4 linked regions of the Rhinolophus ferrumequinum genome follow. The protein of the gene in region 3 interacts with the protein of the main gene of each other region in a pairwise test. Links are inferred from orthologs where the notes say so. Each region holds a gene or a part of one and is shown on either strand. Other genes may lie near its edges.

Region 1 (7,764 bases), on a different chromosome or scaffold from region 3:
TAAGATCCGAATGTTAGTGCCATATTAACATTTTTTCTTCCTAATGTAATAATAACTTTATTTAACTGACTCATAACAGCTTACAATTTGCTTGAATGGCAGAGAACTAAACAGTAATATTGTCACTCTGTCATATTTAAAAACACTTCTGTATTTTAATATGCCCTTAGCAAATTATTTGATGCAGCAAATAATTATATAAACAACTTCAAAACTTGGGTGAGATATTTACACCTGTTTTGCGTGTGTCAGAGAGGGAGAGAGAGAGAGAGAGAGAGAGAGAAAGAGAGAGAAAGAGAGAAATGGAAAAAGAACAACCAGTACCAGTAGCCCCAAAGAGTTACTTTGCCATCAGAGGGTTGACTTAGGGAAAACGTTGTATGAATAGGCACTTCAACATGACATTAGGGAGTTTTCACTTATGGGAGAACACCTTGGACATATAATGATACCAGTGATTGCTGTATAAGAACTCAGATTTTAGGAACTCATTTTTTGCATTTTATACAAGAGCTTTGATTTTGTCTTTAACATAAACAATGCTATAATAGCAAAATATATCCCAAGTTTCTGTATTAAGAATTACATTATTATATCATCTATGTTCTAGCAAATTGCAATTCATCTGCCATTGCCTCAGCATTGAATCTTGAAATAAAAAGAAACTATAGGATTACAGAGACAATCTTAATTTTTACTTCATCTCTAGAGACATAAATGAGTTCAGAGGCTGTGGAAAGGCATGTTTGGGTTTAGTTCATCTTTACATAGATGCCCTTTTTCAAAGAAGGGGACACATAGAATTTAGAGGAAGGTATTCTCCTCAGCATGCAGCACCAGAAATTATTTAGGGGTAAAGTGATAATTTAGGATGTCACTCTAGAAGCTCTCTTTATAATTTCACCCTATGATAAATGTCACATATACCCTGTATCCATGTAGGCAAAAGCATAGACACCCAACAAATGTAGAATTAGTGCATGGCTCCTCTGAAGACTGCGGTACCTGTTCTGCTGAGACTGTACACTTTCCCTAAAGAGATTACCAGCATAATCCTAGATATTACAGGACCCGAGTTATCTTATTTTTGAGCTCATCAGATCCAGCATGTTGCATGTAATCTTTAACAGCTTTATTCAGCGTTTATGTAAGCTAGTGAAGGAGTTGTACGAACACGATGACAAAGTAGTAAGAATAGAGACTGCGATTTTCAAATTCCATTTTAACAAATCCTCCTTTTGAATTTTTTCTTGTACAAGCAGAAAATTCGTAATCATTATTTGATAGTTTACAATTACATTTGCTTGGAGATATTTATGGTTGTTAGCTGTCTCTCTTACACATTAATTTCTACCAAAGGAATTTTGATGCTACCAGGTGGACTGAATTGTAGGAGAAAAAGTTTTTTGGTTTTTTTTTTTTTTACATTTCTTTAGAGGCTTGAATTACTTCTAAAATAGCAGACATACTTATTATTGGTGGAAAATAACAATAGAGGGAAATAATAGAAGAAAAAGACTGGTGAAAACCAGAAATTGCTAATCATGGCACCAAGTATTCTACTGTAGTAACTTAAAAAAAAAGCTGCAGCTTTAATTTAGGATATTCCTTTTAATTCCACTAAAATTTAAGAGGAAAGTAAAATATCTGCTTTTCTTTGCAAAATGTAAAGACACACTTATTCATGCAGTTCATTTAGAAAATGAGTTGTGTGTTTGCATACAGATGTAAGCTCCTAAAACCAAACACTGTGTTTTATGTAATTTTACAACAGAGGAAATCCATGTGTCTTTTTACATCAAATAAGTGGAAAGAAGAACATTTATGCTCACCTGTCAGCCTTTGCTAATTGTAATTCAAACCCAAAGAGGATTAAGTACATAGACGTTAATACGTCCAGTGTTATTAATTTCTGAACAACAATAGCAACAATATCCTGAGTAAATCTGTCAGTCATAAGGATAAATAGTTGTTTAAGACTTCATTGATATCAGAACTGCAATCTGCTGTTAATGGCTTATTTCACCAATAAAGTTTTTAAACACGTGTATTTTGAAACCGGTAAATAATTGCCTTGAAACAATATCTATTCTTTCTCTAAAAATACAAGCACCAGGAATCTGTAAGCATTGTAGAAAGATATAATGCTGAGTTTAGATAAGATTTAGTTTGATTAGTAACTTTTTGGACAATTGTAACGTTTATATTATTTGAATGAAGCAATTCCATCGATTTACATTTTAATATTTCCAACTGTTGCTGACTGCTATATAGCAACTAGCAAAAATCACAGTAAATCATGCATCATATTTTCCTGAAATATTTTTAAGACAAATACTCAAAACCTGCCTATGTTATGAAATGTATGTTTAGGTAACTATGCACTAACTTCCACGTAAAACATGTAGGAGAAAAAACAACATAATTCATCTCATTGTTAATCATCGTTTAACCAAATAGAATTTTTGCTTTTTGAAAACAGATTTCTTACATATGACAAAGTATCTGGTATAATGTATTTATGAACTGAATTTTTAAAAAATTAGAAAAGTTGAAATGAACATAATGATAGCAGTGTCAATGATTAAAATCAAAGCTACAAAATTGTGACAAGGATGTTTGTACTGTTAACCTCATATTGGTGTAATGTGGCAGATGACTATTTGAATTCAATCTTAAAACTCACACATTTGGTAGCCTTCAGGATATGATAATATTTATATATAAATGTGTTCTCTAGTGTAAAATAAAGTCTGAGTGACTTATTTATTATATACATTCTGAAGTCAGAATATATTTTATTGTTACCACACCTAGCCATTAATTTATTTTTCTGAGACCTTATGAATGCTTACTGTCTTGTCTGGAGAATAGTTCATACAGCTAAGCGTCAGAAGAGAAAAGAAAATGTAAAACTCACCAGTGGCGTCAGCTTTAGATTTGAGCTCGTTCTCACACATTTTGATGTCGCAATTAAAAATCTAAATGAAAAATATTGCACTTTTCACTAGAGGTCTGACGACTGTCTCTATGTTACTCCACAACTAGAATCCCAACAGACTGCATTAATGAGATTAAATGAAAGAGGAGTTAAAGGCATCAACTGTTCCATTTCATTAAGTAAGGGTGAAGGGTGCCCAGGCAAGAAAGGCAGGAGGTAGAATACTGGTTTTTCTTTCTAATACTACTTATTCACAAAATAATGCAGCATTTGCTAAATCAGAATCAACAGTCTAAAAACATCACTTCCTTCCCACCCCCCAGAATTACATAGATACATACAGTTTCTACATTTCAATTCTCCTGTATTTTCATCCCACTGGAATAGGCATATGCCATGTAACAGAGTTATCTCTGTGATTATAAATATATAACATAAATTTCCTTCAGGATTAGCTTGCTCCATTTATTTTAGATCCTCTCTTGACTTCCAGGGATGAAGGACTGCATACAGGTAATACCATGTTCCTGTTCTCCCAAATACTGGACCAAAGTTCTTGATAAACACGAGCATTTTACAGTCAAATAAAATATGCATATCTTAGTTATAGCAGCAGTGGCAACAAAGCCTGGGAACCAGTTTGGGCATTTAATACTAGGTGGGCCAGTTGGGCCCAACCCTGAGATCTAAAGTGACTTCATTCTCACAACATGCCTTGGTGCTCCCACTTATAAGAATGATGAAGGTACACAGACAGAAATTTCTGATCCTCCACCCTTGTCACTAGGAAGGATAAATATATGAATATGTAAAAACTGCTTTGACTTCCATAGAAAACAGCACGACCTTAATGGGAGAGCAAAATACTCACATGACTGTCCGCTTTATTTAACTTTTGCTTAGAGTTACTAAATTGTTTCAACGATAAATCTCAAATCTATCTCTTTAGCCCTCACATCCCCACCACCTTTGACAGCTATCATTTCCTTTTCACTAATCCCTTGTCACAAAAAGTTTCTTGATCTCTGTTCCTTCTATTTCTCTTTTCTTTTAAACATCTCTGCTTTTTTTCTGGCTTACACTGTAGTAGAACTGCTTTTCGACAGGAAGGAAGGCCAGGGGTGGAGAGGTGGTTAGAGGAGGCTGGGTAAATCCATCAAATACTATTGTTAGCGTGGTAGAACTGAACCCAGTGGTGCTCAGCTTTGCATGCTCAGTGGAATAATCTAGAGAATTTAAAAATATTGATGCCCAGAGATTTCTCTCTTACCTCCCACTGATTTGTTTGGTGTGGCCAGGGCATCTAAAGTTTTTAAACATATCCAAAGTGTTCCTAATGGGCTGCCAGGACTGAAGCTTCCTGGAATGTTTCTCAGAGTCACCAGAGATGTATGTTAAATGTACAGATTTCTGACCCCCACCAATTACTGAGTCAGAATCTTCTGAGGAGGGGCCTGGAAAGCTATAATAAAAAGTACTCAAGTATTTGCTATGATCGATAAATTTGGGAAAAGCTCAAGGAACGAATCTTGGAATTTGAATTAAAACTTATGGTTTTGAATTCTTGGGTAAGTTATTTAATATTTTCTGTGTCTTAGGTTGCATATTTCTGAAATAAAATCATAACACCTACCCACTAGAGTTGCATGAGGAAGGAGTAAATGTGAAAATCCTTTGCATAGGTTCTGGTACATATTGGAAATTCAATAAATATACTTGAAAATGAATCTGCTTGCCTTGACTTATCTCCAAGATATGCATTTTAGCTGTTGGCTTTAGTTACCATTTGTTCATTCAGTCAATACAAATTAATTAGTTAACTAACTAATAATTAATGCTATTCGTACTACACACTGAGAAATAAATATTATGGAGCTCACAGTCCAGTGTGTATTGAAAACCAATCAATTTAATCCTACTTAAATTCTTCCATTGTAGTTGTCAGTTTTCTGTATAATACTAGAAATAATATTTTTAGACCTGTTGGTAATAAGGGGAAGGAAGAAAGTCATTTAAAAACTCTTTCTGGCCAGAACGTAAACAGATTTGGGGGATAGCAGATGTCTCCTGTGTTATAGTTTAAATGAGGAAACAGAATTATTCTCTGTGAACTATTTAAAGGTTATTAAATACTAACTTGTGTGGAACGAAATTTGTAGGCAACTACCATATTTCCCCGAAAATAAGGCCTAACTGGAAAATAAGCCCTAGCATGCGCGTAATATAAGCCCTACCACAAAAATAAGCCCCAGTTAAGATTGTCAGCCAGATGGACGCATTTCATACGTCTGTTGCAACACATGATGGATGTATTGAATTATAAAATAATAATATCAATATATAATTAAATATAAATAAATAATATCATTGACATTAATACTAAAAATAAATGATAATACAAACTGTAATTAAGTATTTGTAAATACCTAAGTGGGTGCCTTTGGATGAGAAGTAAACACCAATGTAAACAGATGAACTTGAGACTTATTGCCCAATGACCAATCGGAGTACAGACACAACGCAGGAAAAACGTGCGCACTTGATAACCAACGGACATGGTTGTGTCTAATATGAATCTTCATAGTTCAATACACTGTGTGTTGTAACAGATGTACTTAATGCACTTGTGTGAAATAAAGAAATGTTTCTGAATTTTGGTGCCTGCAATTTTCCGTCACTTTTGTGTGGACCATCATTCTTAACTGTCATCATTTTTGTTGCCACTCCTGTCTCTTACATCTTCAATTAACACTTGATTTAATGGTAGATTTAAAGGGAATAATATTTTGAGCCCCAGATGAGTGCAAAAAGAAAGAGCTATTCCATTGAGTAAAAGAAAGGAATTGTGGAGGACTCCCGGGGCAAAAATCTTACAGCTTTCTACAAAGAGAAGTTGGATCTCTGAATGTCCGAAAATGGCAAGCAGAGTATGATAACCTCAGCTAACAGGTAGACGAGGGAAATGCTAAGAAGCTCAAGTGTGGATCAGGTCGGCAACCATTATTTCCTGAGCTGGAAGACATCATCTGTGAATGGATTGCTGACAGGAGAGCAAAGGCTTTGGTTGTGCACAGGGCTGATATTCAAGCAATTGCCCTTGCAATGGCACTGCAGTTAGAAATATCCCCAGAAGAATTCAAAGCGTCACAACACTGGCTGGATGACAATTGATCAGAAGGGTGCCTTGTCAATCTACTACATTCCCTCCACTGGTTACAAAAGTGCATGTGTTACCTGTATTTTGGCAATTTGTCTGGATGGAAAGAAAGCCCCACCTCTAATCATCACTAAGGGCAAGAAAGATAAGGTTGAATGTGTGTCGGCATTTATGTTCTTGAAACGAAAAAGCCTGGTGCATACAAGCAGTTATAAGGAAGTGGGTCAATTTAATGCTGCCACTTGTTTTGCGAGGTAGCCAAAGAGGTCTGCTAGTCTGGGATTCAGCCAGCACTCACCGCGCTAAAGACATAAAGAACTTCCTTGCAGTGAGAAGAATAGATCAAATAATGATTCCCGCAAGAGTATCTCCGGACTCTTGATATTGCAATAAATAAGCCATTCAGGGACCATTTGCACATGGAAATCAATGACTTCATTGAAAATAGAATGGAGAGAAATCAGCGTGGAAGCTTTGAGAAGCCTAGCCTGCAAAAGGTCATGACTTGGGTGAAGAATTCATGGGATAAAATCACTGACCGCTGTGTTGCCAGTGCACTATGAGCAGGCTACACGGACAAGAAGTGCTCATTTAAGGAGAGCTCTATTGCTGGACATGAGAGATTGTAGCCAATGGTTCTACAGGAACTGGAGTCACAAGAAAGTCAAGCCAGAATTCAGGGTTTGGAGAGTTATGACGATGTTCCAGAAGAAGATGACATGACTGTATTTGAATAAATGTAGATTTTTGTACATGAATAAATGTAGATTATTGTACATGAAAAAGTAAGACATCCCTTGAAAATAAGCCTTAATGTGTCTATTGGAGCAAAAATTAATATAAGACCTGGTTTTATTTTGGGGGAAATATGATATTCATAGGGTGCTGGAAGCCAAATCTCAGGTTAGAAAGTTGTATCTCCTCATGCCTCCTAATCCTTGAAAAAATCTAGCTCCTGCTCTGACCAACCAGGTAGTGGGTATCAAAGAATATCCGAACAGACTCAGTGGCATCCTGATGCACAGAGTTTGCGCATTCCCCTAGTAACAAAGGGCAGGGTTGGAGATAGGAACACATACGTGGGGGTGGGGGTGGAGGGTATGGGGAGCCAGCCTGTATAAGGGGTATATGGTCAGGAAAGAAGGAAGAAATGTTTGGGATTTCTCTAGAGTCCTAGTTTTGTCATATCATTTTCCTTCTCAAAAACTTTTCAGCTCTCCATGATTCACAAGATAAACCTAATTTCCTCTTTGGCCTGTTTTTTCACAGCCTGCCTAGATCAGCTCTGTCTTCAGGCACTCACCCTGTGATCCAAGGCCAAAGGCGTCTATCCAAAGGATTCTGGCCCAAATTCCTTTTTCATGCCACTTCTCTCTCCTCCATGGTCCTCCTGAAGGCCTCGCTCCACTGCGCTCCAACTACCCACATGCAACCTATTCTTGAAAACCCAGCTCAACTCCGACCACCTGTGCAAAGCATACCCTGACCATTCCATCCGCAGTGATTCCCCTGGGCTCCTATGTCTCCACCACTCATTTGGTCCTGGTGTTCTTCATTAATCCTCTTTATATGGTTATCTTTTTCCTTAACTGTAAGCTCCTTAGGGATAAAACCCTTTCTTTGTGTGTCTCCCAGTGTTTAGCATAGAGAGTCAATAAAATGTATG
Region 2 (7,061 bases), on a different chromosome or scaffold from region 3:
GACATGGAGAGCCCTCCCCCACCCAGGACAAACTGCGCATTGCCAGCTCGACTGGGCCGGCCTGGCGGCTCTGGCACACGGGCGTAACCTTGGCCACAGCTCAGCAGTGGAAAGGTTCTTTGGAAAGGTTCTGGGACACACGCTGTGGCTCCCGTCACAGGACAATCTTGAAGGAGCTAAACAAAAGAAGAGTGGGTTGGATTTTCTGCTGGAAGTGAAGTGTTAGGAGTAACGCCACCTTTTCCATCTCTCCCCTTTGGAATGCACTGTGTCCCACATCTGTCAGTTCCCTTTGGAAGAAGAGCTACCCTGAGACAGTTAGAGGAAGCGGGGGGCTCCACCGGGCACCACCCCCATAACCACATGGCGAAGTCCGGTGTTATACCTGGCGAAGTCCGGTGAACGGGAGATGACGTGCTGGAACTCGGAGAGGTTGATGGTCCCATCCCTGTCAATGTCGGACTCTTCCAGGATCTGGGAAAGAGAAAACATCAGGCCAAAGCCACAGCCCTGCCCTCGGCTCCTGGGCCCATCCCCGCGGGGCCCGGATACTCACGTTGTCAATGAGCTGCTTCATCTCTGAAGTACTGAGCCGCGTGTCCTCGCCCTCTCCTGTGAGGCAGTTCACGAGCCGGCTCAGGTCTTCTCTGTTCAAGGTTCCATCGTCATCGAAATCTAGACAGCAGACACAGAAGCCCAAGAGGATATGGTGGGGATGAGCTCCAAGGGTGACGCCCAGCTCCCAGCAGTTCCCCTGGGAAGACCACGGGGAAGGCCATGAGTGCCACCGGGCTCCTCCGGGCCTCACCGAAGATGCGGAAGGCGTAGTGGGACTTGATGTCTGGCGTCGCTGTGTCACTGAACACACTGAGGAGGTCCAGGAAGTCCTCGAAGCTCAGGCTGTCTCTGTTTGGGGAGGTTGAGAAGACCTTGCAGATTCGCTCCTTGAAGGGGTTGGCCTAGGAAGAGAGCCTCTGTGAATGCCGCAGGACACAGCCCAGTCACACACTCAAACCTTACCGGGAATGAGAGGGAGGAGGCTCGTGGGGGAGAATGACCTGCACTTTGGGGCCAGCATGGGGGCAGGACCAGTGACCCAGCTGGGGACGGGGCGGGGCAGCTTCTGGGAGTCAGAGGTTAACCCCCAGGTCTGCCTGAGGGCAGAGAAGGAAGAGGGAAGCAGCCTAAGCAAAGAGAACAAGATAGGCTGGTTATTTATAACACAAGGAGTTAACTGAACGCTTATTGTGCAATGAGCGCTGGACAGAGAAATTTTCTTAGCAGCCCTATTGAGAGGCAATAGCCTCTGGAACAGGGTTTCTCAAACCTTGAATAGGTAACTCAATTCCCTCTTTGATGCTCCAAGACAGGCCCTAGAAGCCCCATTTGAAAAACACCATTCTAGATGGTTCCAGTGGGTGATTTAGGTAAAGCCCTTGCTCCCAGGAAAGTAGGGCTAAACAGAGAAAAGACCAGAAAGAGAACCAGTGACCGCAGGACCTCAAGATGAGTAGCAGAGGGAGGGTGGGGGTTCTGGCACCTTGAGCTCTGGGAGGCTGAGGATCTGCTCCAGGGACACTCGTGCCTGCAGTGAGTCCTCCGTCTTCCGGTGCTCCGGCGGAAGCAGCTCACAGAACCGCCTGTGGGCTCTGGCAGAAGGAGGGGGACCCGTTGGTGTACCTTCCTGTGTGTATTACATTCCTGCTTCTTGCCAGTACTGTCCATTGCACACCAGGTGAGGAGCTAAGCCACACACACAGAACTGAGTCGGCAGGCTTGATAAGCCAGGATAGATGTCACAAGATGGTACAGGCTGGGAATCCAATCTTGCACTGAGTATTTCCAGGGGGCCTACTGTGTGCTGGGCACTGATTCTAGAGCTTCCTGAGAGACGGAGGTTGGGAAAGGAGCCAGAAGAACAGGGAGAAAGGGCAGAAAGCCAGGGGTCTGCTCTTCAAAGCCTCCCTCTTTAGGAGCCACAAGGATCTATCTCCTCCGCAGCCCCACCTCCTTCCCACTGGTTTTACTTTAGCCAAGGGAAGCTCTGGCCACATAAAGCTGGCACACGGCTAGGAAGGGGGTTCCAGCCCCAGTTCAAATCCTCTTTCTCAGAGTCTTAGGCAACTTACCAGTCTTCTCTGGACCTGTTTCATTGCCCCTGTACCTCCCTCGGGAGGATTAAATTAGGTAATGTAGGGGTAATTCAGCACCGTTCCTGGCGCAGAGTAAGTGCTCAGTAAGCGTTAACGGTTCTGTATTCAGCTAAAGTTGGGAGAAGGAGCCAGGCTCCCCAGGGCTTCTCTGGCTTTGCCGGTAGGCAATCAGCCGAGAGCCACAGCAGCCCCCGCCGGCCTGGGCCGGGCAGTTCGGGTCTGCAGAGGTCAGTGGAGCACAGAGTGACAGCACGCCCAACTTCGGCTGGAGGTTGCACAGGTGGGGCCCCCGTGCGGGCGGGGAGGGCGTGCCCGCAGCCCTGCGCAGCCGAGGGCTCGGGCGTTGGACTCCAGTTCCGGCTCCTTGGCCGACTTCAGACAGGCCCCTCCCTCTGCCGGGGCCTCAGTTTGCCCATCTGTAAGACAGCCCCCCGAAAGCCATCTCTAGAGGATCCCGGAGAGGAGGTTCGCGACGGCACTTACAGGAGGATCTCCTGCTTGGTCAGGAACGTCAAGTCCTGGAAGGCAGATCAAGACGCGGTCAGCGGACAGCCCGGAGGCCGCGCCCGCCTGCCCGCTCCCACTCCGCTCCCGAGCTCAGGCCGGCGCGCAAGCTCCCCGGGGCCCAGAGTCCCGCGCACCTGGTACTCGGCCAGCAGCTCCTTGGACAGGCGGCTGCCCGAGCCCCCCATCGCCGAGCCGCGCGCACAGCTCCGCCGACTCGTCTCGGGACGCCGGCAACTTTCTCACTTCCGCCCTCGGGCCGCGTCCCCACCCCGTCCCCGCGGCAACCGCCCCTGGGGCCCGCGTCCCCGGGCCCGCCCCCTCCTTAACGCGCCCAGGAGATCCCAGCCGGGTTCCGCCGCCGGCTCCCGGCTCCGGGCGGTCCCCGGCAACTTGGAGGCGGGCCCCAGGGCGGGGTCGGACGCTCCGGGGCGGGGCCCAGGCTGCACGGCTCCGCCTCCGGGGATGAGAGGGGCGGGGCACGCCTCGTGCGTGCGTGCAGGCTGCGCATGCGTTGAGAGCACCACGCCCTCGCAATGGCCGCGGTAGGACCTTGAGCCAAGTCGCGCGGTTCATCCTCCTCACCAGCAGCAGGTGGTCGCGACGGCGACCTTGGGCGAGGTCCGGTAAGAGGCAGAAGGGAAGTCTCTGGAGCCACGTTAACTGAAAAACTCGCTGAGTGGCCAGAGGCCCTCGACTACCCCTCTGCTCAGGGACTGCTTTTCCATCCAGACGTTACCACCCGGCATCCGCCTCGCGTGTTGCAGAGCTCTTGCCACCGCTCCAGAAATAACCATAACTTTGCTGCCTACTGAGGCTGTTTACTGAGGACCCACCTAATGCCAAGATGTGTGCATAGTTACTTCGATTCTTACAACAGCCCTACGAGGTAGGGTACCATTTCAAAATGTGGAAGTACAGAGGTCCCGAGAGATTGAGAGACTTGTGTAGGTAGGCTCTGGCATTTAGAAAGTCGTCACTCCCTTCTCAGTCTCTCTTCAAAGTTCCCCACTGTTGTACCCTTCACTCCCACCCATGTGCCTTCCTCTGTGAGCCCCACTGTTGTAGAAATATTCCACCCTGCACCCAGACTGTGCTGACCTGTTAGCTCTTGCCCCTGAAAACCCCTAGGACAATGCTTGGCACAGAGTAGGCTCAGTAAGTATTTATCGGATGCAAGCATGAATGATAGTGCAGGTTCCTACACTATCCCAAAAGGGGAGCTGTCCAGGCTGCTGAGAGGAGGAGGTTGAGGTGAGAAGAATTCGCTTTTGTTTTCAGTTTTATTGAGGTATACATGACAGATAAAATCGAGGGATTAATTCTTGATTCTTCCAATTAATTCTACGTGCATATCTTTGTAAAATCTAAATCTGAGCATGTCAGTCTTAGTTTACAACCATTTAGTGGTTTGAAACCCAAATTCCAGCCCTCTGTAGTCTGACTTGAGCCTCTCTGCTGTCTCCTCAGACTCTGTGTTTCAGCCACTATGGGCTTTCAGTTCCTCTTCCATCTTATCCTCAGGGAAACTTTTCCTGATTCCCTAGACTAGATTAGGAATCTCTTACCCCCTCAGAGTGTCAGGGTACTCTGATCGTCCTTGACAGTATGTATTATGTTTGCAGTTTTTGTTTACTTGGGTGATGATTGGGTTAATGTCTGTTTCCACCACTAGACTGATGACCTATGAGAATCGTGATCTCTAGGACCTGATATGTGGCTGTTGTTGAGGAAGTGTTTGCTGAGTGACCAGTTTTCCCAGCACTCAACAGTAAGGTGATCATCGGAGAGCGACTCTGGTAAGACTCCCTATGTCACCGTGTGAGCCCCACCATTGTGGAAATATTCCATTCCAAGAAGCGGAGGTTGCAGAGTAATGGGAACACCACAGCCAGTCAAAGTGACTGCGGTGGAGTTCTGTCCGAACCTGATGATCTTGACAGTAGGCTTTTTTTGCCCAAGAAATTTAGCACTAAGCTAAATTCTCTCTCGTTGTAAATGCCACTGCAGTGTACCTAGTTTCGGCAGCTGAGTCACTCCCACTTCTCCCTCTTGCTACAGTCCCCATAGCCAGGATATCAAGAGGCCCTATTGGTTCAGCCTCGTATACCCAGACGTTGAAATGGCTGCATCGTATAGTAATTCTCTTTTTACTTTTTTGAGGAACTACCGTGCTGTTTTCTATCATTTTATGGAAATGCCGTCATTTAGTGGCATCATTTTATGTTCCTGCCAACGGTACACAAGGGTTCCAATTTCTCCACATCCTCACCAACCCCATTATTTTCTGTTTTTTTTCTTCTCATAGTAACCATCCTAATGGGTGAGAGGTGGTGTCTCATTGTGGTTTTGATTTGCGTGTCCTTAATGATTAGTGATGGTTAGCATCTTTTCATGTGCTTGTTGGCCATTTGTGTATCTTCTTTGGAGAAATGTTTGAAACTCGCTTTTAATAGAATAATTTAAGCCTTTCCATGTTATTGTCAAAATTACGCTTAGCTTGACTTAAATTTTTATTTTGGTAAGAAAACATAGAAGATTCACCATCTTAACCATGTCTAAGTGTACAGTTCAATAGCGTGTAAGTATATTCACATTGTGCAGCCAGCCGATCTACAAGTGTTTTATTTTACAAAACTGAAACTCTATACCCGTGAAACTCAGCTTAAATTTTTGTATGTCATTTGTATGTTTTTTATGTTTTTTTATTTATTTCTTTTTTCCCTTTGTTTTATTAATGTGAAGGTTCTGGACCAGCAGAGCAGAGGGAACCCAAGGTTGGACTGCAGCAACTCTACTGAGGTAAGTCTCCTTCTGAAGTTCCATCTGCGCCAACAGCAGGTCTCTCTCCCGGACACCACTGGATCCACGGGACTCCAGGGCCCCAGTGGGAGATGAAGACAGGCACCAATTTCCCCCTTGAAGTATTGGCTGGGCATTTATGCACACACCGGGCCACCCTCACCCAAGTGGCTCTATGCACAATCATTTGGAATCACTTTTCTACCGAACAGTAGAAAAGCTATCTCCATCAAAGGAGGCATGGTCAGCTTTGAAACCCTGGCCATTCTCATACACTGGAACACTGGTATAGTTTTTTGGAGAGCAGTGTGACGGAGTATATCTAAAGCCTGAGCCATGAGCCTACTCTGACCCAGTGGTCTACTGGGATTTTACTTTAAAGGAAAATAAAAACATATAGGCAAAGGTAGATACACAGGATATTCATTGCAACCTTCTGTATGATAATATGAAATTAGCAACAACCTGTATGTACAATTACAAATCAAGATCCATCTGTATATGAAACTTAGGCCAAGTGTAAATAGTGATTTTTTTTTTTTCCCTGGACGTTGAAATTAGGGTTGTATTTTATCTTTTTTTTTTTTTTTCTCCATTAAGAAAATTGACTCAGGGGTGGCCGGTTGGCTCAATTGGTTAGAGCGCGGTGCTCTTAACAAGGTTGCCGGTTCGATCCCCACATGGGCCACTGGGAGCTGCACCCTCCACAACTAGATCGAAACAACTACTTGACTTGGAGCTGATGGGTCCTGGAAAAACACACTTATATAAATAAAAGTTAAAAAAAAAAAAAAGAAAAAAAAAAATTGACTTAGCATATATAATTTTTTTTAATTCCAATATATATTTTTAACTTAGCAAAAATGTATGCTAATCTACACGTGGTAGAATTATGAGTGATTTCTGTGTTTTCAAAATGTTTACCAAAGGCATATATTACTTTTGTAATCAAAACAAGTAGAGTTTATTTGAAAATTAAATCTATGGAAAAGGGTTGGCATCTTGTGTTTTTCACCCCTTATGATTGTTTCAGGTCAGCCCATGGCTATTCCACATGGTTCAAATGAAACTTCGTATTTGCTACCTCCGAACAAAGAGGACTGGGAAGGGCAAGGCATTCCTGACTTTGTCTATGGACAGAAGGACCTCATGCAGGAAGGGATTCAGTGGCCGAGGAACGTACCCAGCTTCCTGAACACGCTGCCGCTGTCTCGCTTCGACACTGTGCTCTGCTCTGCCTGGAGGCAGCGGATGGAGCTGGGGCTGTTCCGCTACTGCCTGGGGGAGCTGCAGACCCAAACCCTCCCTGGTACTGTGGGTTTTGTGGCTCAGTTGAATGTGGAGCGAGGGGTGCAGAGGAGGCCCCCCCAGAACATCAGGAGCGTGAGGCAGCCATTTGACCCTGAACAGTTTAACTTCAACAAAATCCGGCCAGGAGAAGTCCTCTTCCGTTTGCACCGGGAGCCCGGTCTCCCAGATGTTCTCCAGCAAGAGGAAATCCTCGTGTTGATCAATGTCAGCCCCCTGGAGTGGGGCCATGTGCTGCTGGTGCCGGAGCCCGCCCGGGGGCTACCCCAGCGCCTGCTGCCAGGGGCACTGCGG
Region 3 (7,535 bases):
ATCCTACAGCCTACAGTGGCTGTTCCATTGACTGCCTCTTCTTTGTCTCCAGGAACTAATTGCAGGCAGAGAAAAGTTACTACTGGTCATGAATCCACTAGTCTCTGAACCAGTTAAACCCAATCCACATTACCAAATGGCTGAGCAAAACCAGTACAACTTACTTCGAAGGAAAAATATTTCAACATCTTCCAGGCAGCAACCCACACTTAGGTGCCAAGCAGTTGAAGCACCATTTGTTTAAAACGTCCACTTACTTCAGTGTCTCTTCAACAAAGGTAGCAAACTGGTGATTAAACATTGAATAATTACATCAGGAAGATGCCACCCACTTGCTAAACCTATGATTCACTAATAAGCAGGTTCAACGCAATTCATAACTTTAAAGAATGAATTACCAAAGCCCTTTACTTCAGAAATGCCTCCCCAAAAATGTAAAGAGAATTTATCATATAAAAACTGACAATCATTTTTCCTTTGGACATCTATAGACAATCTTCCTTCCCTTAAAGACAGTTTTTCCTGTACAATCTCACATTTAATCTTCTACATTACTGGAAACAAACTCCAACTCAGTTCCACCAAGTGAGTGAAAAGTCCTTGGAGCTGGGAATTTTTTTTTTTTTTTTTTTTTGCCTCCAAATAAAATGTCCTATTAAAAAATATTTTAAAAACTCAAAAGTATTTATCATTCTGTTACTTTACTATCCCCAGAAGCCTATTAAGTCACTAATGGGACAGAAGGTAGAAACTCCCGTAATGCTTCAGAGATCAACATGTGTCACTGACTCCCAGCTCGTTCGCCTCTCAGGCACAGTTGATTCCTTTGTTCCTTCAGACTGAACACCAACCAACTCTTGATGAAAATTTGTCAACTATTTTGGAAAGAATGGGAGGGTTTGTGGAATATTTCCAGGGAAACCCTTCATAAAACAACAACAATCACTAGTAGTAAGGAGAACATAGATGAAGGGGGAGAGAAAAGAAGGCTCCCAAGATCTCCACGGGCTCACCCTAAATGTGAGTCCGTTTTCTGGCTCAGGGGTAAAGCTGATGGTTGAGGCCTCGGGTCCAGGGCGCTCGCACTCGGGAGGGGGAAGGACAGTGCCGACGGGCCGCGCGTGGGGCTGGGGGTCTGGGAGCGCTGTCCCTTTTCCTACTCACTTTTCCTGGCCGGGAATCAGGCAAGCTCAGAGCAGGGAGGCACCGGGCGATAGGCGGGGAGCGGCGCCCGGCGCCGCCCAGGACGCCCCGGGCAGCAGGACCTACAGCTGCGCGGCGAGAAGCGCCCCAGACTCGGGGCCGAGGGGGCAGCCGAGCGGGGCGCGACCCCGGCCCGGTCCCCCGCGTCTGGCCGGGCTCGCAGGGCACACGGCCGCCCTTCGACCCAGGACTGGCACAGCTCGGCCAGTGAGCCCCGGGCCAACTCCACAACTTGCCGGCCCCGCTGCCCGGGCCCCCCGAGGTCCCGGGGAGATTCGGAGCCGGCAGAAGAGGCGGGATTCCCCCGGAAACGATTCCTCCCCGCCGCCGAGCCCTCCCCGCTGTCTGCATTCGCTCTCGCCGCGGGTCGCGCTGGCCTCGCCGCCCCGACGCCCCCGCGGCCCTGCCCGCCAACGCCGCCGCCGCCGCCGCCGCGGGCCGCGCTCCCGAGCCGTTTCCGGCGGCGCCGCCGGCCGCTCCTCCGAGCCCCCCGGCTGCGGCCGCCACTCACCCGAGGCCGCCGCGGCTCCGAGCTTCGGGCTCCGTCAGGCTCACTCCACGAAGGCGCCCTGCCGCCCCGTCCTCCCTCGGCGCCCGGGCGAGCTCTTCCCTCCGAGCCGCAGCGCTGCCAAGCGCAGCGGCGGACGCGAGGCCACGGGCGGGCGCGCGCGGGCGGGCGTGGGGCCGGGTCGTCCCTCCGCCTCGCGGCCGCCTCCTCCTCCTCCTTCTCCGCTGCCGCCGCCGCCGCCTCCCGAGTTCGGGGCTCTGCTGCAATGTCTGCGAGGCTGACTTTGAGCGCCTCACTCGCCGCCCGCCCGCAGCCGCGCTCCTCCCTCCGCCGCCGAGTCCGCCGCGGCCCAGTCCCTCCCCTCGCCGCTCCACGCCATTCAGCTCCTCAGCCAAGTTTCTTAACCCTTTTTTCCCCCTCCCTCCCATTGTCACGGGGCCGGAGGAAGCCACGCGGGTCCCGGCCGCTCACGGGAGCTGAGGAGCCCCCTCTGTTGTGTTGTTTTCCTCCTTGCCCGCCCTCCGAACGGCCGGGCGGGGGCTGTAGGGCCCCGAGGCAGCGGGAGGACCGCGGTGGCCGGGAGAGATGGGCGCCTCTCGCACCCGAGCCGTCCCCCGGGCTCCCGGCTCTGTCCAGCCGCCCCCGACTGCCGAAGGCGCCTGGACAGCTCCTCCCTGGGGCCCGGGGCGTCGTTCTCGTTACACAGGCCAAAGGCTCGCGTTTGGGGCACAGCCTGGGGGCCGGGACGCCCAGGGTCCCCGCCTGGGTGCTGGCGCCTCCTCCCATTTCACCCAACAGCACGCGTTCCCTTGGCTCCCTCTCACTCACCCCCAACTTCACCACCTTGTGATCTGTGTGTCCTGCTTTAATCTTAGGGGGACAGGGTGGACGGGCACTAACTCCAGGTCACTTTGACCCCACGCCCAGCACGTAGTAGGCACCCAGGAATAAATGCGGAGTGATTCCAAGAGGAAAACTGGGAAGGAGACCTGAGGAGTGTCCCGTTCAGCTCCTTGGACGGACGAAGGACCCAGGAGCAGGGTTTTATCTTCAGCTGCTTTGTCACTGCGAAGTCACCAGCGGAGTCTTGTCAGCGAATATACTCATCCCCGGGAAGAGTTTGACCCTGCCAGACAAGGCGAAAGGAACAAGGCTGCCACTTCTTCGGCAGCTCTCCACGGTTCAGTCTCGGAATAAGAAATAACAATTACATCACGAGGCCCGGGCGGCAGCGCTGTGGAGCCTCTGGGTTTCCTGCAGCCTAATCTCGCTGAACCCGCCTCTAAATTGAGGGAATATGGATTGGTGAAGAGAGAAAGTGGAGGGAGGAGAGATCATAATTTCTCCCTTCTTGTATTTGCTGTTATAAAATCTTATCCTCAACGCTCCCCAAACATCTAACTATAACTATTAACACCCCCTCAACACCTCCCCAGATGTCAGGTTTCTTTTTGACTCTAGCATCTAGCATTTAGTAACTCGCCAGGAAAAAAAAAAAAGACGAGGGGGAAATGAGTGCTGTTGCTGAAATTGTTTTTGCTTGATATAGAAACACCAAAGTACGGCTTAAAGCCTCACCCTAAACTCCGAAATGGCATGCCTGTGTTATCACACTTATTACACAAAACAAATGAGGCACTCCGTTTTTATATGTAGGTTTTCATATCCTTTAGAATCATATAGCTTTTGAAAATAGAGTTGCTAGTGTGCTTAAAAAGAACTATGCAAGTCATAAAACAGTATTCTATGCCTGTTATGTAATGGCTGTATTGTGCATTTAAAATTTCATTTATGCTTTAAAAATATGAATGAGAGTTTTGGAATATCTTCACAATCTTAAAAGTGAAAGCAGTTTTTCAAATTAATGCTTAATAAATCCAGCACCTAGTACATAGTAGGGCTAGGCACATAGTAGGACTACTCTGCTTAATGGTGATGGTGAATTTTAGAACAATCTTTTACATCACCTAGTGATTCAACTGCAATCTGTTGTGATCCTATATAGTTTAATTCTCATATGATAGCTTATTATTTGCATATACCGCAGTTTGAAAGCTGCTCAAGGGAACTTAGTGCTAAGTCTGCTGTTGTATAGTACATCCTTCATCCAGGAGTGATGCAAACTGTTCAAATTAAGTGAGGATCAGCATAATTAGAGCTTGGCCCTCTAAGGCGTCACTTTATTTTTTTAATTCTTTTTAACTTGTACAAAGATTTTATAACATGTATCATCAATGTTTCTCTTAAGCAATTTACTGGACTTCCTTTGGCTTTTTCTTGAAAATTCAGGGTTAATTTTATAAAAAGTATTTATCGTAGTAGGTTCTACTGCATTCAACAAATACATCAAGTTCCCATTCAATGTGCGCTAAGGCTTCTTCCTAGGTGTTAGGGATGCTTCCAGAAGGTATGTGAGCTACCAATGGCTACAGGAAAGGACTCTAGGACACTGACCTAGTGATTATCTCTGCCTTTTATAGTTCCTCTCTCTCCCCCTTCACTAACCAACAATCTGTTGTCCTTTCTGTGTTGCCAGCACACGTCTGTCGCTGATATTCTCTTCCTCTTCCGATTTGCAGCTTCTAGTCTGCTGCAGACTGGGAAATCCAGATAGCCTCACTTGTCACAATTCAATGTAAAGTAAAACTAAATAGGTTCTGTGCAGCTCACCAAGGAGTAAGGCAGGTGAACCTTAGTGCATAGACTTTGGGATAGATATCTGGACTGCTCAAATGTTGCTTTGAAAAACATTTTTTTTTTCCTTCCTAACTAGGTTTTGGATCATTGAGATTGGTAGATAAACAACCTCCTAATGCGTGAGGTTACACAATTAACCCAACAAGCCAAGCATTAGTCCTGCCCTTCAACACTCGTGTAAAAAACCCTACTGCCACTTGTCACATGACTTAACAGCGCCATTCACCTCTTATTATTAATCTATCCTCTCAACTCCACAGAAATCCAATCACTGAAATCCTGATCTCTTTTTGATAGTGCATTAATGTTAAGTAAATTGCACACCTTTTGTGGAATTCATTTTTACTTAATCATGCTAATTGGAGCCATTTTGTTACTGTTCTTTGTTTTTAAAAAAATTAATACCTGAATTTTCTGGCTAGGAGAGTCATTGCAAGGATACTGGGGCATATGTGTAACATAAGAATGCCTGTTCAGTAATTTGTATTTTTAAAAATTTTTTTCAATTACAGTTGCCATTCAACATTCAATATTATGTTAGTTTCAGGTGTACTGCGTAGTGGTTAGACAGTTATATAGTTTACAAAGTGATCCCTCTGATAAGTCTAGTACCCCCCTAACACCATATACAGTTATAATGTTATTGACCATATTCCCTATGCTGTACTTTACATCCCCATGACTATTTTGTAACTGCCAATTTATACTTCTTAATCCCTTCACTTGTTTGACCCAGGCTCCCAACCCCCTCCCAGTAATTTGTGTTTTAAAGACAATTCTCATTTTAACCAGTGGTGATGTGAAAAAGATGTCCTTCAGTTTATATACCTAAAAACATAAGTATTTTGTGAACCAAGGGTTCCTAAGGGATCAAATACTTATAGTACAGGCTCACTATGTTTATCCACAAAGAAGTAGTCTGGGAGAGCTTTGTATATATGTGCTCCCTGATCTCTCCTATAAGAGCATTTTCCACATCATTTTGTGACCTGGTGTTTACATGTCTGTATCCCACTCTAAATGCAAACACTACAGTCGCAGGGTCCATATCCCTCTCGTTCACATTTGGATACCTCGACCACCTATCACTGTGCTCAGCAAACAGTAGGCATTTCGTAGATATTGGGCAAGATACTGTCTTATCCCAGAGAACAGAGTGTTTATTTCTACTTGGGGTGCAGGTGTGGAACAAGGGAGTTCAGAGAAAATTTTACAGAGAAAATAATGCTTCAACTGACTATTAAAAGGTAAGAAGAATTTGCCAAGTAGGCAAAGTGGGAAAGGGGTTCTCAGGAGAGGGCAAACACCGTTTAAAAGTAGAACAGTGTGAAGAAAACAAAAATATATATTCAGAAGTATTGAACCCACATTATAAACTTTGAACTAGTGACTAATGAACTATGACAACTGACAAAAATATATACAAGTACAGGTCGAATTCCAGTGTAGTCACGCTGATGTAGTTAGTCTCAGCCTCGAGAGAAGCACAGTTTAATAAAAATATAGACTGAGCCACAAATGTAAGCTACATATGTACTTTTAAATTTTCTAGTAGCTACATTTCAAAATACAAATAAAAAGGTAAAATTAAGTTTAATAACATACTTTATTTAATCCAATATGTCAAAAGTATTATTTCAATGTGTACACAACATAAAAATTATTCATTAGATATTTTGTATTCTTTTATTTACACCAAGTTTTCAAACTCCAGTGTGGCTTTTACACCTATAGCACATCTCGATTTGGACTAGTCACATTCAAATGCTCAATGGCCACATGTAGCTAATTGCTGCTGTGTTGGACAGCACAGCTTTAGAGAATGAATGAAATCTTGAATAGTACCGTTAAAGGACATTTTTAAAAATGAAAACCTAAATCTTGTTAAACCTCAGGTTTTATTTGTTGGTTACTGGTGTTTACCTATACTATGTTATAAAGACTACTTTCTTGCATCTAGGCTTTTATGCCAATTAGAGAAGCAGCAACGTTTATATTTTATGTACTGTGTACTCATTAACCATATTGTAGATACAACTACTGTCTCCAGTAACTCTGGTGGTGGACTAAAAATGTAAACTGGCTATATGGCAGAAATAAAGCACTATACATTTGGGGTTGAATAAGCTTTTAAAAAAATGGTCTTCCCTAGAACACAGAACTACCACTATGCTAATTCCTGTCAAGCATCTTCCTGGATAAAGAGGCCCAGGGTTTTGCTCTTCAAGTCTCCCTACCCAGTTACTTGAGGACTGTAAATTCCACCCCATCGTTTGTTTGAGGCAGTCACCTGCTGGAAGCTGCAGCAGTTAGGATGTGCTGCAGTGCCCTGAGTACTGAGAAAGGTCTAAGGAGCTAAAATAAAGATGTTTAGACACCCTGTCTGCAGGTTACTATGCAGTTTTCCCTAATGAGATTGGAGCCTTTTACTTTCAGTGGGGCTTGAGTGCCAAGAACTGGCAAAACCAGGGCACTCAATTTCTACACTAAAATAAATCCTGAAAACTGGATCTTAAAAAAAAGTCTGAAAATAGAGTGGTCGTTATAACAGTATAGCTAAACACCACTAACCAACAGAAACCAGCCGAAAGTGTGTGAGAAAAAGGCAGGCACAGCAATGAAATACAAATGTGGACAATGTCTTGTTTTTCCCCCAATAAGAAAACGTCTAGCATAGTTAGGGATCTAAAGGCAAGAAATCCCAGTGAAGGTAAGGAAAACCTGTCAGTTTTGATGATGTGTTAGTTTAACATGTCTAAGTGATTGAAAGTAAACATTACGTGGAATCTTATCTTTTTATGTAGAAATGGGTTATGTAGATTTCATTAAGCAATACTGTCATAAATGAATACAAAATTTCTTTTTGGGATATTACAAACATACATCTGTATATAAATCAGTTGGGTAAATCATGAGCCTATTAATTTTTAGAGATTGTATTCAGATAACTTTCAACTAAAGCAAAGTACATATCTGTTTTCCCAAATAATTGAAGGTTCTGTAGGGAATAAAGCTATGAAAGAAAATTATGTATATACACAATTTGTGCAATTGCTTAACCCTCAAAAGAAATTGATATAGACTCTGACATATCTCTTTTAGATTTCTTTAGATTCAAAATTCTTAT
Region 4 (7,494 bases), on a different chromosome or scaffold from region 3:
GTAAGAAACACCCCGAGATCAATGCTCAAAGTCCATCAGAATTGAATTCCTGATTTCTGACCATTTCCATAAAATGTATTTATTCTCTATTCCTCAGGAGCCAGCCCACCATAACGACTGCTACCCATGCCGGGTATTAAGCATAAGTCAAGGGAAGGAACAATCTTTGCAATTTCTAATGAGTGTGCATTTTTTTCCAGGCTTTATCTTCACAAGGGTTGTAACTACATATCTGCTCTCAAGAAGATGGTGATGGATAATGGTAGGGCGAGACCATCTGAGGTCTGGGGTTCTGGGGTAGAGATCTACAATGAAAGATAAAGCGCTCTACACTTGAAACAATCCACCCTCCCATCTACCTCACCCCCAAACACACATGATCTTCTGAACTGCTCATTGAGTACCAAACAGGCCAACAGTGACATTTCTGCCAGGTCATCTGCAAAACTGTTTGAAAGTAAGTGAAAACTAAAGCAGCAGCTAACAATACGCTTATACCTTGAATGCTTCTTTTAAAAAAGGCCTTACATCCTTCACACGACCAGACTCCATAGTGATATCCCGACGCGTAGTCGCTGCAGACTGCACAGAAGTGGGCATCCCTCTTTGAACGTGGACTAGTAACAGGGCTGGCACAACTGTTCCCACTAATCTTCCTTTTCAGTGTCTCTCTGGAGGCAAAGAAAACATTCATTGGAAAAGAGCATTAAGGGGAAAGGAGGAACTTTCTAGGGAGAAAGAAAAGCAGCAAGAACATTGCCCCATTTATCTCTTTGCCCTCCAGGGTTTATGACAAATACACTCCAGGAAATCTGCTAAAGCAAAACCTCTGTTACTGAGATCTGTGAAGGGTCCCATTGCTGGAATGACTGAGGTCTGCAGGTGATTAGGTGAGTTTATGCCCTTCCATGCAGGACTGATGAGCACTAGTGACTACGGAAGACCACTTGTAGCCATCGTGGTGCACAGCTTTGCATGGGATAAGTGACCAGATTGAGTCCTGCCCACAGTTCTGAACCACGAGTAGGTGTGTGGAGGCCTTCCGAAGTTACCGAAGTTCACCGACATGCACGGAGGGGCCTAAACTCACCTAACCACGCCCACGCATCAGGCAGTCAATCCCCACAGGGCCCTCAACAGCCCTTCAGAGTTCCCAGGTAACCTGGGATTCAGAATTCATTCTGCAATTTAAGATAAAGGTCTAGGATGAAAAGAACTTTAAGAGGAGTAGCAAATGGACTTTAAGTTACATTGAGGTGAATGCTATATTCTGGTTTAGAGAGGGGAGGAAGGGAAAGGAAGGGAAGGGAGGGGAAGGGAGCAGAAAAAAGGGAAGAGAGAACAGAAGGAGACAGAGTGAACACACGCGTGTCCTGAGAGAAGGCTTTGAAGAAAGCAGGTGCTCATTGCCGAGTGGAGGGGCAAGGACTTCCGTAGATGAAGGGAGAGCCCACGAAAGGAGCACTGGGAGGCCCCCAAAACACACCCGTCTGGTTCCTGATTTCCCTGGGGTTCATTTCTTTTGGAAAGGAAATAGTAGAGGTGTGACTGATCTATAAATGAAGGGAATTATACTATGGTTTAAATTACCCAAATATTAGCAGAACTCTGATTAGAGCTCATGCTCAGAAACCAAACTTTTCTTCCATGAAAGACAATGAAAACTTTTAAAAAAGCTATGTACAATTTCTATATAGTCTTTAATTTTGCCAACAAAGTTCTTTAAAAGGAAGAAAAAATTAAAACCCTGTATAATATGGCTTTCTCAAAGCTTTATGACAGCATTTGAAAGTAATGAACTTCAATATCCAACATGCTGTAACTTAGACTTTGGTTGTTTTAGAAGTTTACCTCCCCCTCATGCGTCTCCCTATACCACCCCTTCCCTCCATAGCTATAATTATCATTAAAAATATTACGAATTAAATGGCAATAACCACCGTGTTACCTTGCATTTAAAGAGTATAAACAAATATTCTTTTTAACTTCTAAAAATTTCAACTAAAGTCTACATTTAAACAGTTTCCCATCAATCTCTACAAAATATTATTTTAGTCCATTGTTAAAAAGTTAGTATACCAATTGTCTGTCTTTTCAGGCTTCACGTGTCAAGTATTTCATTTAAGTTGTAATACTGCCACAGGTACTTATATCCTGGATGCAATCTGTCATGAACACTAACTTGTGATTTCACTACCAGATAAGAAGGATTCAAACTGAAAGCAAAATAAAAATGTATTTTTCAAAGACAAATCACTTCATCAAGAGAAATGTGATTTAAGTTCAATCTTTATTGTTTAAAGACAGTAGTCATGATAGTGAATTCTCCCCCACCACACAAATCTACAAGCTCAACTTTTTAATGACAGCTAAAATATCAGGATAGATATTCTAGAATTCAGAATATCACGCTTTAGATGCTCTGAGTAATCTATATGACTAATAAAAACCTTGTATATACACATCTTTCTTCTCACTAAATCATAAAGTGATTTGAATAATGCTCATGAAATACAATTCAGAATGAAGACTGGATTTACCTGTTTACAGGTAAGGTGTGTTCTAATGATCTTGCTTCACACCAAGGACTCTTTTGAGGTTCTGCATACAGAAGTGATGACTGGCAATGGATTGCTAACGGAGAGAGGTGTCCAGGAGTTGGCCACAACACATTTGGGCTTGTGGTCTGTCGACTAGGTCCACCGTCCGAGTTATCAACACTGCTGGGAAGACTGTAATTCATCACTGCAGGGCTATAGAATGCCATGGCTGAATATTCATGGTGGCTCTCCACATACGAGGAAGGTATATATAGGGGGCCGTGCTCCAGGGGAAGGACAGATTGACCGCAGTTGTAGGAGGCAGGAGAATTAAGGCTAGATGGTGAGTTTTTGATATCCATGTCTTGAATGGGTAATATCTGAGGAAACTCCTTGCGAGAAGAGCCACAAAGCGACATTGTAATGTTCTCAAAGTCTCATGAGCAGGTATAATGGCTGGAAAGAACAACAAAGGACAGTTCTAAGTTAGTTGGAGCTACAGGCATACCTGTTCAAAGTGTTCACACATTTTTATTAAACACATACACGCATTTGTATGAACTTAGAAATACATCCTGAAAGATATACATGAAAATATTAACCTCAGAGGGATGGGAATATGTGGCACGGAACTCTCATTTTCTACTTCATTCACTTCTTTATTGCTTTTGTTGTTGTTAACCACAAGAATATTTTTTACCATGAGAATTTGTTATAAAATGCTTTTTAAAATTAAAAACACAGGGTTAAATTAAAATGTCAATAAGTTGTCTTCTTTTAATATGGAACAAGTTTATTTTAAAGTTCTTATGAACAAATAAACAAGAACAACCAGGAAAACTCTGAAAGAGCAGATCAATGAGCAGGACCAGCATTAATAGATACTCAAATACACTGTGAACTGCCAATAATAAAAAACAAGGAATAGACAGGTCAATGTAACTGTGTCAGTTATCAATTCATTGTCTCTCAGCTTCCAATGCACCCTTCAATATATGCTCTATAATAAATGGAATTCCTGTAGTATTTAAAGTGAGCCAATGCTAAACTTTTTCAGTAGAGGGCGCTGCAGGAGTACTGTAGCAAGACGAGGGTGGCAGTGTGGGTCTGAGAACATGCAATGGAGTCTGGCCCAGCCACGTGTCCACAGGGAGGTCCCACTGCAAACTTTCGGCCTCTGTGTGGTGATAAACTTTCCACAATCACCTGTCCAGACTGTGGCCTGAGGAGTCACATGCTGAGAAGTCATTCCCCCTGCAAGCCTCCTCACTCCACATGACCTGCAATTCTGAAGGTCTTCTGCCCCCATGGGCACCTGGCCTCCTGGGGTATGCCCACACCGCCAGTCACTGAGCACCCGCTCCCGGCCTGCAACTCCTGACCAGCTCCAGCCTGGCTAAATCAGCGAACATCTCTGCCAGTTAATGGTCCAACCACCTTCCCCCCTGAGGTCTGATCCCTTCTAAGTTTGTCCTTCCTTGGGTTTGCTCTCTCAGCTCTAGGGTACCATATAAAGTTTCCTTATATCTTATACTTAGTCCCTTACCATAGGTAATTAATTATAAGTAATTCTTTATATTAAACCTCCCCTGTTCAACCTATTATGTGCTTTCTATCTTCTGATTGGGCCCAGACTGCTACATAACAGAATGGAAAATCCCAAAACAGCAAAACCAAAATCTCAAATGTTTTCAGAAATTTGGTATATGATAAAGGTGGCATCTCAAATCACTGGGAAAACAGTGGGCAACCGAATTGCCAGTGGAAAAAGAATGCATGTCAGAATAAACTCCAAATGGTTCAGAGATCCAAATGTTAAAAGAGAAATGGAAGGAAGGGGGAAAAGGGGGAAAGGACAGGTAGGGGCTGCACGAGTGCTGGAAGCAAACAAAGTAAATCCCTTTATAAAATGGGTGTGGGGAAAACCTTAACTATGGCTAAAAATCCAGATGCAATAAAAAAGGATGTACATAAAAGCACATCAATTCAGTACATAAAAGTAAAACTTGGCATGTCATAAAAACACACAATAGGCAAAGTCAAAAGACTAATGAAACTTGGAAATAAAAATATTCTCAACTTAGATTAGAAAAAAGGGGATAATGTCCCCAGTATATAAAGAGAACCCTTAAATTAAGATTTTAAAAAAAAGACAAAAAAATACACTAGAAAAACAGGCAAAAGACACAAATAGAACATACACACAAAGAGAAAGCAAAACACATAAAAGGACGCTCAATCCCATTCATAAAAGAGATACAAATTAAAATTTTACCAAGATACCATTTCTCATTTATCATGTTTGGAAAAAATTCAAGTATTTGACAACAGATTCCCTTGAAAAGGCTGTGGAAAACAGGGACTCTTTCCTATGTTGCTGGTGGGAATGCAAAATGGCACAACCCCCCTGGATATTTATATATATAGTAATATAAATAGCAATATATAGCAAAATTACATATACTTTTACCCTCTGGGCTATGAGTCCATAGTGTTAATCAAAAAAAGAAGAATAGAATCATTTATTACCATCGATAGTGATTGATACACCAGTTCCTCATTCTGAAAATTAGTAATTAAGGGGAAAAATTAAGCCTGTACCCTGCCTTTTAAAGAGGCTCTGTAGAGGGAAACCCCTTACAAAAGAATGCCACCTAATAAAAAGAGTTCAGAAAAAAAATATTTGGATGGATAACTAGATAGATAGATAGATAGATAGATAGATAGATAGATAGATAGATAGATAGATAGAGATAAGTCAAAATGTTAACAATTATTGAATCTGGATGGTGGACATATGGACATTCATTATGCTAATCTTTCAATGTTTCCATAAGTTTGAAATTTTTCATAGGAAGCTTTGGAGAAAAAACAAAAAAATACAAGATTAAAAATGGAAACCTTAAAAAAAAGAATAACTGGAATAATATAATGTGGAAAAGGGAACAATAGATGACTAATAAATAATGAGACTCCTTGAGAGAGATCATTAAGTAAAGAAACTTGCCTTGAGAAGTTCTCCATCTTTAATATCTTCAACTCCAGCTATCACCTACTTCCATATGTAGGCAACTTAGCTATCTAAGGCTCTGAATTACCTTCCTCGTGACATTTTCATTTGAATGCTTTTCCTCCATTTGTCCTCAAAACACAATATATCTATGGTGGTTTGAAAATAGCCTGCAAATTCTTCAACACTTCTCCCTTCAAAAGGTGTCGCCTAACCTCCCCCTTGAGCATGGACTAGATTAATGACTCATTTCTAATGAATACATTATGGCAAAAGGAATGGTATGTGGCTTTCAAGACTAGGTCATAAAAGGCATTGCAGCCTCTTCCTGGCTTACTCTGTTGGATCTCTCACTCTAAGGAAAAGTAACTGCCATATTGTGAGGACACTTAAGCAACCCTATGGAGACGTTCTGCTAACAGCCAGCAAGGAACTACCGCCTCCAGCCAACAGCTATGGGAGTGAGATACGTTGGAAGCAGATTCTCCAGCCCCAATCAAGCCTTCAGATGACTATAACTCTGGCCAATTATCTTGATTGCAACCTTATGAAAAAACCTAAGCTGGAACGACCTAGCTAAGCTGCTCCTGGATTCCTGATTCCAAAAACTGTGAGATGTTCGTTGTTTAAGTTGCTATAAAAATTCTATGATACTTTGTTACAGAGCACTAGTTAATTAATACAATATCCAAAGTAATATTCATCATTTTCCTCCCCTAAACCACTCATTTCCTATTTGTGTTCATGACAAAGCCCGTTACAGTTACCTTTGACTTCTCCTCTTCATCCAATTACCTTGAATCACCAACGCATTTTTTTACCCACTTCAGAGTATCTTTTCCCCACTCTGTCTTCTGCCACCATCTGAAAGTTCTCATTACTTCTTATCTGCGCATCTGTAACAGGCTCCTTATTACTCCTTGTCCCTAGTTAGCTCCTTCTCCAGGTCCACGACCGGCCAGGTTAACATTCTTAAAACCCAGCTCTGATCAGCCCTCTGCTTCCCACCAACCTCTCTAGTAAGTCACACTGTTCTAACATTCAAGGCATTCCACTATGTTGCCCCAACCCATCATTCCACTCTGATCTCTTGTTATTTTCCTACAGGAAACCAGCGATGTCCTTAAAGAATATGCAAAATGCACTGTTGAAGTAGTTGGCATTTTATGCCTTAGTACTTCTTTCACTCTTAGCACCCCTATAGTTATTTACAAACCAATTTAATCCTTTATATTAGATTACAACTACATTGAATCCTTCTTGGAAATGGTAGAGTTGGGATGGGAGAGAAAGAAGTAAGTACAAGTTAGATTTTAAACTCCTTGGAGGCACACACTATATTCACCTTCCACTACAACTCAATAAATATTTGTTATAAGCAAAGAATATGAGGAAATGAGTTTAAAATATAAGATTTCACCAAGTCAAGGCTATTAATCAAAGATGGGAGCACTTTCAGTAGGCGTGCTACTGTGCTGAGACAGGAGAGCTAAAGGAGTCCCAGGACATGGACCCTGCCTCAAGGAGCCATCGTGCCAGGTAAAGGAGGCAGAACGGCCCAGGTAAAGAAGAAGGACCTAATACAAAAGTGCTACCTACCACTTCTAATCAACATTGATTGACCACAAGGGATAGGAGAGAGATTGGTAGCTGGAGAAGAATATAGGATCGAGGAATTTTTATATATATATATTTTTTACATCTATGGGCATTTACTAATCATGAGTATATAATTTCGTGTTTCAATTAGATGCCTAATCAACATAACTCTCCCTGATTCCTAAGAGAAAATATGCAGGAAAAAGCATATAATGCTAGCTACTGTCAAAATTAGCAGTTTCCAAATTTTTTAATTGTGGTAAAATACACATAACAAAATTTACCATCTTAACCATCTAAGTGTACAGTAGGGTAGTATTAAGTACATTCACACTGTTATGCAAC

The links.
Region 1: the proteins of NRIP1 (region 3) and RORB interact in a two-hybrid assay, tested with the Homo sapiens proteins (2 studies listed by BioGRID). The link is inferred for Rhinolophus ferrumequinum from reciprocal best matches to the Homo sapiens genes NRIP1 and RORB.
Region 2: the proteins of NRIP1 (region 3) and CIB1 interact in a two-hybrid assay, tested with the Homo sapiens proteins (2 studies listed by BioGRID and IntAct). The link is inferred for Rhinolophus ferrumequinum from reciprocal best matches to the Homo sapiens genes NRIP1 and CIB1.
Region 4: the proteins of NRIP1 (region 3) and ESR2 interact in a two-hybrid assay, tested with the Homo sapiens proteins (2 studies listed by BioGRID, with this or other methods). The link is inferred for Rhinolophus ferrumequinum from reciprocal best matches to the Homo sapiens genes NRIP1 and ESR2.

Annotation. Positions count from the first base shown.
Region 1 is NC_046295.1:40,121,117-40,128,880, reverse strand, and holds the start of RORB (nuclear receptor ROR-beta), read right to left. Parts: upstream 3,010-7,764; 5' UTR 2,961-3,009; coding exon 2,921-2,960; intron 1-2,920. UniProt on the Homo sapiens protein: Nuclear receptor that binds DNA as a monomer to ROR response elements (RORE) containing a single core motif half-site 5'-AGGTCA-3' preceded by a short A-T-rich sequence.
Region 2 is NC_046311.1:4,054,675-4,061,735, reverse strand, and holds the start of CIB1 (calcium and integrin-binding protein 1), read right to left. Parts: upstream 3,003-7,061; 5' UTR 2,846-3,002; coding exon 2,795-2,845; intron 2,672-2,794; coding exon 2,637-2,671; intron 1,650-2,636; coding exon 1,541-1,649; intron 960-1,540; coding exon 809-959; intron 676-808; coding exon 557-675; intron 475-556; coding exon 386-474; intron 177-385; coding exon 155-176; 3' UTR 1-154. Other genes in the region: GDPGP1 (GDP-D-glucose phosphorylase 1), read left to right, coding at 6,501-7,061. UniProt on the Homo sapiens protein: Calcium-binding protein that plays a role in the regulation of numerous cellular processes, such as cell differentiation, cell division, cell proliferation, cell migration, thrombosis, angiogenesis, cardiac hypertrophy and apoptosis.
Region 3 is NC_046285.1:11,293,166-11,300,700, reverse strand, and holds the start of NRIP1 (nuclear receptor-interacting protein 1), read right to left. Parts: upstream 3,012-7,535; 5' UTR 2,701-3,011; exon of another isoform or gene 2,540-2,700; intron 1,906-2,539; exon of another isoform or gene 1,715-1,905; intron 1,491-1,714; exon of another isoform or gene 1,165-1,490; intron 1-1,164. UniProt on the Homo sapiens protein: Modulates transcriptional activation by steroid receptors such as NR3C1, NR3C2 and ESR1. Also modulates transcriptional repression by nuclear hormone receptors.
Region 4 is NC_046289.1:31,538,843-31,546,336, reverse strand, and holds the start of ESR2 (estrogen receptor beta), read right to left. Parts: upstream 3,003-7,494; 5' UTR 2,960-3,002; coding exon 2,541-2,959; intron 672-2,540; coding exon 499-671; intron 1-498.